Linked DNA regions of Coturnix japonica. The protein of the gene in region 1 interacts with the protein of each later gene in a biochemical or structural test. Links are inferred from orthologs where the notes say so. Each region holds a gene or a part of one and is shown in the gene's direction. Other genes may lie near its edges.

Region 1 (4,493 bases):
AGGATCATTGATGCCATTTGTGCTCATATCAATGTTTCCTCCACAATGGCTTTCATCCTTGTCATTCTATGTTGTTTTGTAATGATGATTTCATTGCGATTCTTTTTCATGAAACAAATTCCAGTCCTCCATGTGGGTAAGAAAGAAATGGCGGAGGAACTGGGAGGTGGGGAAAGGAGAAGTACTTCTACATGTCACTTGAATCTTTCCATGCTCTGATCTCCTCAGGACCCTGACATGAATCAGACAGCGTTCACGTCTGCTCTATTTCTGTGTGGTATCTGAAAGGCCCCAGAAGCGGCTGCAGCAGCCAAGAGCAGCAGGAGCGCCGTGCCACTGCCCACAGCTCCCTTCTGCAGCTCCCGGGGCTGCCAAGTCATTGGCAGAGCAGTCTGGGCTTTAAGGATATTCAGCCTGAATGACGAATCGTTTCAGCTTCCATCTGTACGGGGGAACGTGGACATACAGGTTTTATAAAAACAGCCTTTCTCTTTTCAGAGATAGACACTGACATGAAATATCTGAGAATTATCATTGCCCTCCAAAGGAAAGAGAATAAATATTGTGGGATGCTCTGTCCACCGACGAGGTTTCATTTGATAGTTTCCAAATAATTTAGACATGTTCTGAAATGAATAGGAGATGAATCACTGGATAAATCCCTGGGATGGCACCTCTGTTGATTGCAGTGAATGGTCACTCAGCACAAGCAGTGACTGCTCGGGTCTCTTCCTCGTGCTTCCTTTGATGGATGGCAACACAAGGAGAATGGTGAATGTGTGCATCAGTCCAACCAGCAGCGTCTTCCAAGGAGAATAACAGCAACTGTGGAAAGGAAAAGGCTCCTGGGGCCATTGGGCCTGATCTGCTCAACTTTTACTTCAACAGTTACAGGAAATAAATGGTTTCCTTAGGGTAAAAAAGAAACCCAGGGCTCTGTGCAGCCTGGCAGCCCCGGTACGCGTGGTCCAGGCTGCCCCACCTGGGGAAGCTGGCTGTGCACTGATCTGGGCTAAAACCTGCCGGCAGATTGAATGAATGTCACAGCATGGCAGGGGGAGAGAGGGCAGCAGGAGGATCTGCCGATGGAAGGAGGCTTCTGGCTGCGCTCTGTGCTGGCACATGGAGCGAGAGGGACCGGCCTGAGGGGAAACGGGCATCTGTCCGTGGTGGCACACAGTGAGTGCCACAGGTTGGCCTTAACTCGAGTTACATCGGTAAATCTGTACAGCGAACCTAATTCCACACTGACACGTTTCGTACAATGTCGTGCATCGGTTTGTGCACAACAGCCTCGTGGCAGACCGGCCTGAGGAGCGTTGAAGGCAGGGATAACAAAATGGTGTCCAAAGGAGCGTTTGCTGTGAGCTTTGTGGCCATGCGATAGCAGTGAGCCGGGCAGGGCGGGATGGCGGGGTTCTGCATCCCGGTGTGCGGGCACACCGAGCTACCGCCCGGCCCGGCAGCACCGCTGCGTGACAGCGCGATTCTGTGCGGCTCCGTGCGAGTCAACGACGGCAAAAAGCAGAAGGGACCGGGACCGGCCCGTGTCGCAGCGCTGCGGGGAAGCCCGGCCCGACCCCGACGGGCGGAGGAACCGGGCGGCGGCGCCGCAGCGTGTCCCGGGAGGGCGGGGCGGCCGGAGCGGGCCCGGAGGCGGAGCGGCAGCGCGGAGCCCGGCCGGATGTGAGCGGAGCGGCCGCTTCCTGTTTCCCGCAGTTCTCTCCCCGCCCTGGGTGGTGGCCGCTGCCTCGTCCCCGCTCGCAGGCTCAGGGCGGAGGCGGCCGCGACACGCTGCGGAGCGACTGAGACGCGCTCCGCCGCCGGCTGCTTTATCGAGCGGCGCTCCACGCCCCGCCCCGCTCCGCAGCCGCGATGCAGGCCATCAAATGCGTGGTGGTGGGCGACGGGTGAGTGCGGACCCGCGGACCGACCCCTTCGGTCGGGCCCGAGCCCGAGCCGCGCTGGATCCCGAGGGCGGGGGCGGCGCGGGGACGAGCGGGGGGTTGGGGCTTGTGCGGGCGGGGGAGGGGAGCGAGAGCGGGACGGGCGGCGACCAGTGCCGGCAAATGGAGGCGACGGGAGGGGCGGGAGCAGCGCGGCCGGTGCGGGCCCGAACGCGGCCACAGCCCGAGTCCGAGCCCAGCCCGAGTCCGAGCCCAGCCCGAGTCCGAGCCCAGCCCGCTCCGCGCCGTGGCGGCGGGTGGTGCCGACCGAGGCGGCTGCGCGGGGCGGGGGTGCGGGCGGCCGGGCGGGGCCCAGCGGGGCTGCGGGATGTGAGCACTGGGAGCTGAGCACTGTGAGCTCTGTGAGCTGTGCAATGTGCGTTGTGAGCTGTGTGAGCTGAGCACTGTGAGCTCTGTGAGCTGTGCAATGTGCGGTGTGAGCTGTGTGAGCTGAGCACTGTGAGCTCTGTGCGCTGTGCGGGGCCGCGCCGGGGAGGAGGCAGCGCGTCACGGGGGGAATGGGCTGAAGGGCGGGGGGCGGATCGTACCGTGTGGAGCCACAAAGTACCGAACTCACATCGCTACATCCGCTTTTTGCTGCACAACTACGAACAATCTGTTCCGCTCCAATCGAACCATACGCGCCGTGTGAGCTGAGCGTTTTCCTGCTCGCACGGCTCCCGTCTGGGGAGGTTCCTGCCTGCAAGAGGCTGAGAAAGCAATCGAAACCCAACTCATTAACATCGTACTCAGCTGTAAATCACTGCTGTGCCTACAGCGCTCCGAATGGGATGTGCCTTATACATTAGTTAGAAACAAGTTGTTAGGATCAGGTTAGCACTAAGCTGACCTGTTGGATTCCAGCATAAGCACTGCAGCTGTGATGGGGATGTTGTGTTGCTGCTTCTCAGTACTCACCACCATGTGTTGCCATTGGCCCAGAGGCTCCTTTCTCTCTCGCTGGGGCAGCAGTGCAGGGCAGCTGAACAAGGCGTGGCTTGTGCACTTCCACGGGGCTTTTTTCCCCCTCGGTAGAAACAAAAATCCCAGTGTAGGCCGAGCATAATCGGTGTCACAGCAAACCCCTGCGGGTGACAGAGGCTGTAAGTGTGGCTGATGGCCTTGCTGCTGTCTCTGTAATTGAATGTGGTGGATTAACCTTCCAGTTTCCTGTGTGTGGCTTTGTATTTTTCAACAAGGCTTGGAGTCCCTGAGCTGGCAGCTGTTAGAAAGATAAACTGAGCTCACGTGGCACATGTGTTCGGCCTGCTCTTACTGTGCAGGGTTTTGAGCCGAACACGAGTGTACTGAGCACTTGATCATCTGACAGAGACTTGTCATAGCACTGTAACTGATGGATCCATCACTGTAATTGATGGATGGTGGGCAGTGTGACTGCAGGCAAACCTTTCAGTTGCGTTGACTTTAAAGGTGACTAAAATCCCTTTTTTTAATTGTCATTTTTAAAGTGAATTGATGTCTGTGGCAGTGCTGGAAATCAACGTGGTGCATCGAGTTTGGGTGGGGAGAAAGTTCTGCCTGTTTCCTCTGCTGGGTTGAGGAGCTCAGTACGGACGCTGTGTTACTCAATGACTCGCTCAGCAAAGCAGTTCTTCTTTGTCTCTTGCTTTGTAAACTACTCCTTTTCTCAATGCATTTCCTGCTGGAAATGAAAGTGTGTCATCCCACCCAAGTCTTACACGTACGTGTGAACAAAACACGGCATTCAGTGGGCTTTCCTTCCTCTGCAGTTAGAAGCACATACCTCCTAGGATCCCATCTAGAAGCCGCTGCTCAGTTTTGCTATCTGTTCATTGACTTCTGCTGGGATTTTTAAATATTTTATGGTGCTTCTCTGCTGTTGCTTCACGAGTGAAGACATTACAGGCGTTCTGGTAAATGCGGAATGTTTGGCTTAGATAAGGCTAAAGCTCTGGTACTTCAGGAAAACAATGCAGGTTAAAGATTTGCTCATATGACATAAAACTTAGGCGCTGATTTATGTGCCCTGTGGAGATCCACTGGGAACAAACCAGCTGTGGATGTACCTGTGCAGCCTTAACAGCTGGAAGCAAGCAGGCGGTTTCTGAGCTGTTTTTGTTCTTAGGGCTCTGACTGGTATCTTTTTAGAGCTCTAATTTGGCTACAAAACACAGCATGTTTGCTGGTTGTGCAATCTTGTTTTGCCCTTGTTTTCCTCTTCATTGTGAGGATTGTTAGAGGGAAAATAAACAGCAACTGTTGCTTGTGCTTGTGGAAGATGCAGAGCAGTAGGAACGTGTGCTGGGATAACAAGGGCAGGAGCTGCTGCTGACTGACACTTGTGGAGAGCACTGCTAGGAGTTATTTTTAGCAGCTTTTGTTTTCACTCTGAAAAAGCAGCTGTTCAGTGGTATGAAATCTCAAGTGATCTCGTGTAACGCTGGGGGAAGTTCTGTGCTTTGGAATGATGATTATTGGGTGACAGAGAAACGGTCAGCTTCCTGCTCTTCTGGAGCTGGTTTTCATTGTAAAACTATTGTAAGAAAAGAGTCTGTCTGGAATTGT
Region 2 (4,188 bases), on another chromosome or scaffold:
TGTGCTTCTATATTCATCTCCGCCTCAAGCAGAATGCTCATTATTGGTTTCTGGGAGAATAAAGAACGCAACGGATCAATGCCATTAACCCAAGCTGCACTTAGAAGACAAAGCTGGTGCAGCTGTTGCACCGATGGTCTCAGGAGTACAGAAGCAGGGCTACACTTGGGGCTGTGGCAGACCTGCCAGAGCTCTCTGAGGGCACTTCCATCCAAAGAACACAGCCGGGGTAAAAGTGACAAATGCTGCAAGGATATAACACTGTGAGTTGCCTTCATTGCCCTACAAAATGAAGAAGACATTAACAGAACTTTCAACAGTGATCTGACCCAGTGACAGCATTTCTGCTTTGGCACGGTTCTAACAGCACCTGCCGTGAGGTAGTGTGGCACTGAGGGACATAGTCAGTGGGCACCAGGGGGTGGGGGTGGGTTGAGGTTGGACTCGTGGTCTTTTCCAACTTCTATGATTCTATTGTAGCTGGAGAAGGTTTGAGTGCTTAGGAGGAGAGCACCCGCTATCCCCCGAGTATCTCTGGCTGGCTGGCTGTAAGCTGTGGTGCCCCTTCCCTGGAGGGGCTCAAAGCCAGGTTGGATGGAACCCTGGGCAGCTGAGCACAGGGCTTGGAATGAATCAGCTTGGAATGAAGTGATATTTAAGGACTCTTCCAACCTGAGCCATCCTCCGATTCCACAATCTGTGTGTTTGATGTGAAGTATTGCTTTGTGGGGATGAGACGTTTTCTCAGGAGGATGTAAACTTCCATAGGGCAAACCTCCTGTGAGAGTTACCTGCTGCATGGGAGCTCTGGTTTCTGGTCAGACCAATGTTCAACCAGTCTCCTCTCCACTGAAATCCCAGCCCTGGTTTGGCAAAGGCAGAAATGTGCATCTATCTGGAGTGCCTCCTCACTGCTCGAGAGGCTGACAGACGAGGCAGTAACAGCCCTAAGAGCCCCATCCAACCTGGCCTTGGATCCCTCCGGAGATGGGGCGCACACATCCTCTGTGGGCAACCCGTTCCAGCGCCTCACCGCGCTCACACCAACGCATCGATCCCGATCACCCTCCCGCCTCATCCCGCTGTCCCCGTGCAGCACAGGCCCCGCCGCACGCAGCCTGCGGAGCCGGGCGGCTCCCCCAGCGCTCCGCACCCGCGGAACCTCCGCGTCGCTCGTGCCGCCGGGGGGCAGCCACCGCCCGGTCCGGCTCCGCGGGTGCGGGAGGGGGGGGGGCTCCGCGGGCGCGCAAGCCCCGTGCCGTCACGGGGCGGGGAGGAGGCGGCTCTGCGGCTGCATGTGTGTGTGTGTGTGTGTGTGTATATGTGTGAGTGTGTGTGTGTGTGGCGGGGCGTCGTCATCCGCATTCACATGGGGGAGGCGGGGGCCTCGGCCTGAAACCCCCGCCCGGGGAGGGGAGACAGCGATCCCATAAAGCCGCCCCCCCCTCACCCCCCTCCCCTCCAACCCAGCTCCGCGCGGCCATGACTTCGGCCGAGCAGACCGTTACGTGGCTGATCGCCCTGGGCGTGCTGGAGTCGCCCAAGAAGAGCATCGCCGACCCCGAGGGCTTCCTGCAGTCCTCCCTGAAGGACGGCGTGGTGCTGTGCCGCCTGCTCGAGCGCCTGCTGCCGGGATCCATCGAGAAAGTGAGTCGGGGGCAGCGGGCTTTGTCAGGCCGGGGGCGGCGGCATGGCGCGGGGGGCACGGCGGCGGCGGCCTCCGCCTTGGGGACCCCGGAGATTCGGTGCCGAGTTCCTCCCGAGGAGGATGGAAGCGGCGGGAGGGAACAAAAAGCGCTCCCTGAGCCCCGCGTCCGCCCCTAACGTTCAATTGAATTTCCTTGTAATGCGGGCTGTTGTCCTGCTTGCTTGCTTTATTTTGGCTTTCTGGGGGCCTCCGTGTGCCGGCACACCTCATGGAACCAACTTTCCCCATCTTGCTGGTGACTGTTGAAGGTCACCTGGCAGGTGGCTGTGGTCACCTGCCGTGTGTGTGTCTTTCTTGAGCCTCAGAGTTGGAAACCTTTGAGCTCTGTAGGGTGCTGGGTTTGGAGCAGGGTCCTTAGTTCCCCACAGGTTGTGGCTGTCACCGCTTTGTGCTGTTGTCCACCCTGCTCTGTTTGGTGACTTGGTGCTGTCCTCATGGACTGCAAGCAAATGGGGGATGTGGAAATGACCCCGGAGCTCACAGGTGTTATGGAAATGACACAGGAGTATTGAGTAACAACGGGGACAGCTGGCTGGGACAGCCATGGCCTGGAGCAGGCTGCACAGAGAGAGTGTGGAGTCTCCTTCTCTTGAATGACTCAGAACCCACCTGAATGTCCTGTGTGACCTCCCCTAGGGAACCTGCTTTAGCAGGGGTTGGACTTGATGATCTTCAGAGGTCCCTCCTGACCCCTGTGGTTCTGTTATTCTATGTGTGAGATGCAGCTGGAAATAATGCGTGTCCATTCCTTGGCACCAGTCACACAGTGGGGCGCAGACCCTCCTCAGGAATAGTTTGTTGGTGCATCCTTCCATCTGCATGACAGCCGTGGTGGTTTCCCAGCCTGTCTTGCTGTGCCTCCCAACCTCTGGTCTCCAGAGCCCCATGGAGCTGGGTGCTGAGCATTACAGCAACGCAGGGCTGTCCATGCACTTCTGGCAAGCCTGGGAGGATGATGGGGTCCTGAGATGGAGTAGGGAACAGGTTCTGCTGCAGGCGCACTGAAATAGAGATGAGTGATGGAAATAAGTAGCAGGAAAGCGTTTCCCAACTTCACGTGCTTCTGTGTACGGTGCAGCTAGGAGTGGCTTTGATGGGAAGGAGAGGCGTGCTCTTGTTATTGTGTCAAAGGAGGCAATGCTTGTGATACTAGGGTCCCTTCCCAATCCCAAACCTAAGGGGAGGCTGTGCAGGAGCACAGCTTCCCTCGGGAGCTGACAGTGGGGTGCTTTTATCCAATCTGCCATACAGGGATAAGCCAAATAGTGCAGGGTTGTGCAGAGGGTGGTGATGGGCTGGGATGGCTGGCAGAGGGGAGAAGGTCTTTCAGCCTGCCACCTACCCCAGCCAGCCTGTGTCCAGCCCTCTGCTAGAGCTCTGTGTATTTACTGATTTCTTTGTTTTGTGAGCAGACCTATATGTAGTTCTTGGCCTTTCTCATTGTGCTTTCTAGCCCAAAGGTGCCTTTGAAAGTCTCACAGACTTGTGTCCCAGTCCAACTCTGGGCTGGTCGGTGTCCTTCCTTGTAGATTACACTGTGTTCGTGTGCTGTATTTGTGCTGGGTAACTCCTTGTCAGGAAGCACTGGCTCCATTTGTTTACAGAACAGTTGCCTGTCTTGAGCAGCAGACAGGTATTCAATTCATCCGATTCCAGGAGCTGTGAATGAGAGCGAGTTGGAAGGCAGCATTACTATGCATTGCATCTCTTGCTTCTGAAGAGTGGCCACGAGGAGGTAAAATCAGGCAGGATTGTGCAGAGCAATGGTCCTGGTGAACAGTTTTGTAACATGGGAAAGGGGCAGAAGGCAGAGCAGTTGCCTGCAACCAACAATGAATTTAGAAGTGTCTGCAACTGTGTTCAGCTTTTCCTGTTGACTCTGGTCCGCTATCAAGGTGAGCAGAGCTAAGGATACTTGTTTTAGAGTTGTTTATTTAACTATGCACATACAGTAGAGTAATGCAGTGCTGATGATGCCAGTAGGTGCTCCTGAATCCTCATGAGTAATTTTGTATTTGCTTTCCTTCTTCAATTTCCTATGCATCCATCCATTTTCATATACGACATGCACAAGATCAGGATTAGCATTTTTAAGTATTCTAGAAAGTTTCAGAAGATGTCATAGAATCATCATAGAATGGTCAGTTTTAAGCAGTAATGGTCAGTAGTTCAGCAGTAGCCGAGAAGATACACCAAATCTCTTGAAATTAACCTGAACGTCAGTACTTTATTGCTGAACTGACCTTTCAAAACTGGGAATAAACATACACTGGTATACAACTAGAATAAATGGTAGGGAACTGTAACTGGGGGGTTGGACTTGATCTCTGGAGGTCCCTTCCAACCCCTGTAATTCTGTGATTCTATAACAGGGCAAAAGCAAAGACTGCCACCTCCCCCTGCCCAAACCCTCAACTCCTTAAAACTCAGCCGTGCATTACATTGCACCAGTCTGTAGATCACAGAATCACAGAATGACC
Region 3 (4,216 bases), on another chromosome or scaffold:
TCTACTCTTCTAAGTGCCAATGAAACCCATCAGAGGGAAGCCAGGGAACAGGGTATCACAGAATCATAGCATAGAATCACAGCATGGCCTGGGTTGCACACAGTGCTCATCCATCCCAACCCCCTGCTGTGTGCAGGGTCACAACCAGCAGCCAGGGCTGCCCAGAGCCGCATCCAGCCTGGCCTTGAATGCCTGCAGGGCTGGGAGCTGCAGCCTGTGCTGATGCTGCTCCAGCAGCAAGAACACAAAGAAACAGTTCCTAGAAGGAGCAAAGTGGGAACCTTTGCTGGGAGGAAGGTGCCGCTGGCAGCAGGACGCAGCACACAGCGCTGCTTGTGGAGCAGTGTCCGTGTACCCCTGTGACACACTGACAGCACGACACATAAAACGTTTTATTAACCCCATGAAATGGTCAAATACAAACACAAGATGTTCAGTTCTGGACAGCAGGAGCCCAGTCAGTGCTGGATTCCAGCCGGGAGCTGCAGTGCACACAGCAGCTCATACACGTTCCCTTCCTCCTCCTGCCCCCGGTGCCGTTGTGCTGCCGGTTTTGGCCGCCATGTCGGGCAGTCCCGGCTGCTGCTGTGGGTGCAGAGAACGCGGCTCGGCCTGGCCCGGCTGTGACACCGGGCAGTTCAGCGGCTCCACACGGGAGCTGCCATCAGGTGACCGTCCCGCAGCCACCTCCCGGCCACGGCAACGCACCGACCCCGCGGCTCCGTTACGTGCCCGCGGGAGCCGCGTCGGGATCAGCGGGAGCCGCTTCGTGTCCGTCCGGTGCGGCCGGTTCCGCGCTGTGCTCGGTGCGGGCGGCGCGGCGCTGCACGATGCCGGGCATCAAGGACACGTAGGCGCCCATCAGCCGGTGGTTGGAGCGGACCAGCTTCCCGGCGCAGCCGTCCAGGCACCGCTCCTACGGGCGGCACCGGCTCCGTTCGGCTCCGTTCACCCCGTCCCGTCCCGTCCCGTCCCGTCCCGCCCGGTCCCCGCTCACCTCGCGCCGTGACAGCAGCCGGTGCCCGAGGTCGGAGACGCAGCGGCGGAAGCAGAGCTCGGTCATGCGGTTGTACACCAGCAGGAAGTCCCGCAGCTGCAAAACAGCGGCACGTACGGTCACCGGGACGGCCCGGCACCGCCGAACCGGGACGAACCGAACCGAACCGAACCGGGCCGCCCACCATCTTCCCCCCGTCCCCCCACACTCACACTGCGGAGCTGCTGCTGCTGTTCGGCCGCCGCCGCCTCCATGTCGGCCCGCCCCGCGCTGCCGGAAGTACCGGCACTTCCGCCCCGCCGCACTTCCGCTCGGGGATCTACAGCACGTCACTTCCGGCTCGGTCTCCCGGCGCCCCCCGCGCGGGTCGTGACGTAACTTCCGGCGCGTCCGGGCCGAGGCGGATCGAGGCCGCGGAGCCTCCGGGGCGGGGGGGCCCAGCGGGGCCGGGCGGGGCAGGTGGGACATAACGGGACATAACGGGACATAACGGGACGGGCTGGGCTGGGCTGGGCTGGGCTGAAGGTCGGGGTGAAGGTCGGGCCCCGGGTGGGAGCCGGGCTGGGAGCCCCGGTGCCGCCGCAGGGCCCGGCCGTGCAGTGACAGCCCGGCCTTTGGGCCGCCCCGGTCCCGTCCCGGTTCCTGGTGCCGTTGCAGCCGCTGCTCGTGTCGCTCCTGCTCGTCCCGCCCGGGCTCTCGGTGCTCGTTGGCTCCGAGCGGCGGCTGCGAGTCCCGGGCCGGGCCGCAGCGCTGCCCCCAATGCCGGTACCGAGGGGCGGGTCCAGCTCGTGATAACGGCGCTCGGTGCGGGCGGGGCGATGCTCGGAATGTGACCGGACCGGTCCGGCCGGGCCCTGCCGCGCTCTGCCGACGTGGCCCCGAGCCCCGCGCCAGGAGCCGTGGGGAGCTCGGACCGAGGGGACACGAGGAGCCCCGTGAACGAACCGTGTGTCCCCGCAGGCCCTGACCATGTCGGATGGGATCATGAGCAAAGCCGCCACCATGGAGATCCCCATCAGCAGCAACGGGGACGCCGGCAGCCTGCCCGAAGATGACGGCCTGGAGCAGGTGTGGGGCTGCGCCGGGGCCTCACGTCGGCCCCATGGGTTGGGGGTCTGTCCTTGTGCTTCAATTTAATGCTCTGCTCCCCCAGGACCTGCAGCAAGTGATGGTGTCGGGGCCCAACCTCAACGAAACCAGCATCGTGTCTGGTGGCTACGGGGGAACCGCTGAAGGCATCATCCCCACCGGCACCATCAAAGGTACAAACGGCTTCCACAGGGACGGGGCTGTGGGTGGGGGTCAGCTGGGTGTTCTGCTGGAGGCTTTAGGGCTCAGTGCTGGGGTCACAGCCCACCCTGCTGCAGCCCTGAACGGGGCCAGTCTGTGTCCCTGCTCCCAGCAGCTCTGCTCGTAGCTGAGGCCGTCCTGAGTCACAGCCACGTGGCCCTGCAGAGCTCAGCCTCCTCACAGCCCCAGAGCACAGCACTGCTGCCACCCCGCCAATGCTGTGGGGCCCATCCTGGGGGTGTGATTTCCACCCAGCTGCACTTCTTACCCTGCACGTGCCCTTGGCTCACAGGCAGCTGTGGAGATGCCTGGCTCTCTCGTAGATGCAGGGCTTCTGCTGAGGGAGCTGCTCTGCCCTCCTGGGGCACTGGTGTGATGTGTGGGCTCAGCTCTTGGGTATCCAAGAGCCCCAAAGGTGCACAGTACTGGCACAGCTGTGGTGGCTGCACCTGAGAGACACCTTTCAGACAGAGGGGGACAGGGCAGAAGGGTTCTGAGCCCCAGACTCTGCGTTAATGTCCCGTTTTTGCTGTTGCTGCCCACCTGGGAGCCCCAGGCACTTCTGAGCCTGTCTGTAAATGCTCTGTGCTGGAGGGATGGTGTCCACGGGCTTCTGGGGAGCTGCTGCTGCTGCACACCCAGAGCCACAGTCAGTGCAGCTGGAGCAGCTCTGCCCCATCCATCCCTCTCACCCTGTTCCCATTTCATACAAGTCTCTGTCCCAGCTCTTGGCCAGTCTGGCCCATCTGCTGCAAACAACTGTTTTCACTGTGGGTCCTTCCATGTTGTGCCAGGCTGAACGGGTGAATTAACTTAGGCAGAGGGGAGATGAGCTTTTGCTGACAGCCTGCTGTGGCTGGGGGGATATTGTGCAGTGGTTCCCTGTGTCTGTCAGTCCTGGCCTGTCCCAGTTCTCAACCTGGTACGTGTTGATACCAGCCTGGGGATGGGGAGGAAGCAAGAGAGGAGCCTGGGTGCCTCTGACGTGATGCTGTCTGTGCGGCTGCCATCTGTATCTACTGATTTCACATCACTCTTTCATCTGCTCCCCTGCTGCCACCCTTCCTGCACACTCATCCCTGTGTCCTGGTTGCTCCTGCCCTCGTGTCCTTCACACCCCCCCCACCTCTTCCCTCTGCTCACCTCCTGCCAGCCCCTCCATTTCCAGGCTGTCTTGTCCAACCTCACTCACCCCGAGGACCATCCATCTCCCCCAGTGCATCTGCCGCCAGCAGGATGGCCAGCCAGGCTGGTGCTTCAGCAGGTACTGCAGCCACCCCAGCGCCCCATGGTGCGACACAGCCTTTGAGTCCTCCTGTCTCAGGCTTAGGGCCCGGGCTTAAGGCTCCCGTTGTGTGCAGTGTTTCTCAGGGTCAGTTTCTTGCCCTGCTGTGGTGGGGAGCAACCCAAAGCAACCCAGACCCAACCCATGCCTCCCCCAGCAGCAGAGTCTACTCACGGTTCTTGTGCTGGGGGCACACGTGGCACTTCCAAACCACAGTGCACCAGGCAATGAGGCCGAGCTGTGCCTGGCTGTGGGATGCACTGTGTGTCTGCCTGGCCTCTCCTCCACCTCTACCATGCCCCGGAGCACAAGGAGTATTGCCTAGCACAGGAGCACCAGGGCCATTGGTGTGCAGGGCTGTCCCTGCCAGCAGCTCTGCAAGTGAAAGGGGGAACAGCATCTCCCATGTGGGCAGCAGCCAATGCAGTGAGCACCAGGGCCTTGGTTATCAATGTCTAGTAGGGTTTTGGGGGCCAGATTCTGTGCTGCAAGAGGCCAAGTCCTGCTGCTTGCAGGCAGGTGACAAATCACAGGACACTGAGGGCTCTGTTGAGCCTGGTAGCAGTGCCTGACTGGCAGGGGGGAGCCGCTGCCTGCCTGCATCTCATGGGGCTGCCCAGGGTGGATCTGCCTGCACCAGGAGT

The links.
Region 2: the proteins of RAC1 (region 1) and ARHGEF7 form a complex in vitro, tested with the Homo sapiens proteins (2 studies listed by IntAct). The link is inferred for Coturnix japonica from reciprocal best matches to the Homo sapiens genes RAC1 and ARHGEF7.
Region 3: the proteins of RAC1 (region 1) and ARFIP2 form a complex in vitro, tested with the Homo sapiens proteins (2 studies listed by BioGRID and IntAct, with this or other methods). The link is inferred for Coturnix japonica from reciprocal best matches to the Homo sapiens genes RAC1 and ARFIP2.

Annotation. Positions count from the first base shown.
Region 1 is NC_029529.1:8,463,516-8,468,008, reverse strand, and holds the start of RAC1 (ras-related C3 botulinum toxin substrate 1), read left to right. Parts: upstream 1-1,690; 5' UTR 1,691-1,875; coding exon 1,876-1,910; intron 1,911-4,493. UniProt on the Homo sapiens protein: Plasma membrane-associated small GTPase which cycles between active GTP-bound and inactive GDP-bound states.
Region 2 is NC_029516.1:125,507,011-125,511,198, forward strand, and holds the start of ARHGEF7 (rho guanine nucleotide exchange factor 7), read left to right. Parts: upstream 1-1,314; 5' UTR 1,315-1,482; coding exon 1,483-1,647; intron 1,648-4,188. UniProt on the Homo sapiens protein: Acts as a RAC1 guanine nucleotide exchange factor (GEF) and can induce membrane ruffling. Functions in cell migration, attachment and cell spreading. Promotes targeting of RAC1 to focal adhesions. May function as a positive regulator of apoptosis.
Region 3 is NC_029516.1:174,018,004-174,022,219, forward strand, and holds the start of ARFIP2 (arfaptin-2), read left to right. Parts: upstream 1-1,342; 5' UTR 1,343-1,456; intron 1,457-1,957; 5' UTR 1,958-1,966; coding exon 1,967-2,065; intron 2,066-2,150; coding exon 2,151-2,259; intron 2,260-3,440; coding exon 3,441-3,551; intron 3,552-4,216. Other genes in the region: TIMM10B (mitochondrial import inner membrane translocase subunit Tim10 B), read right to left, coding at 725-916, 998-1,093, 1,210-1,251. UniProt on the Homo sapiens protein: Plays a role in constitutive metalloproteinase (MMP) secretion from the trans Golgi network. May have important functions during vesicle biogenesis at certain cargo subdomains, which could be predominantly utilized by secreted MMPs, such as MMP7 and MMP2.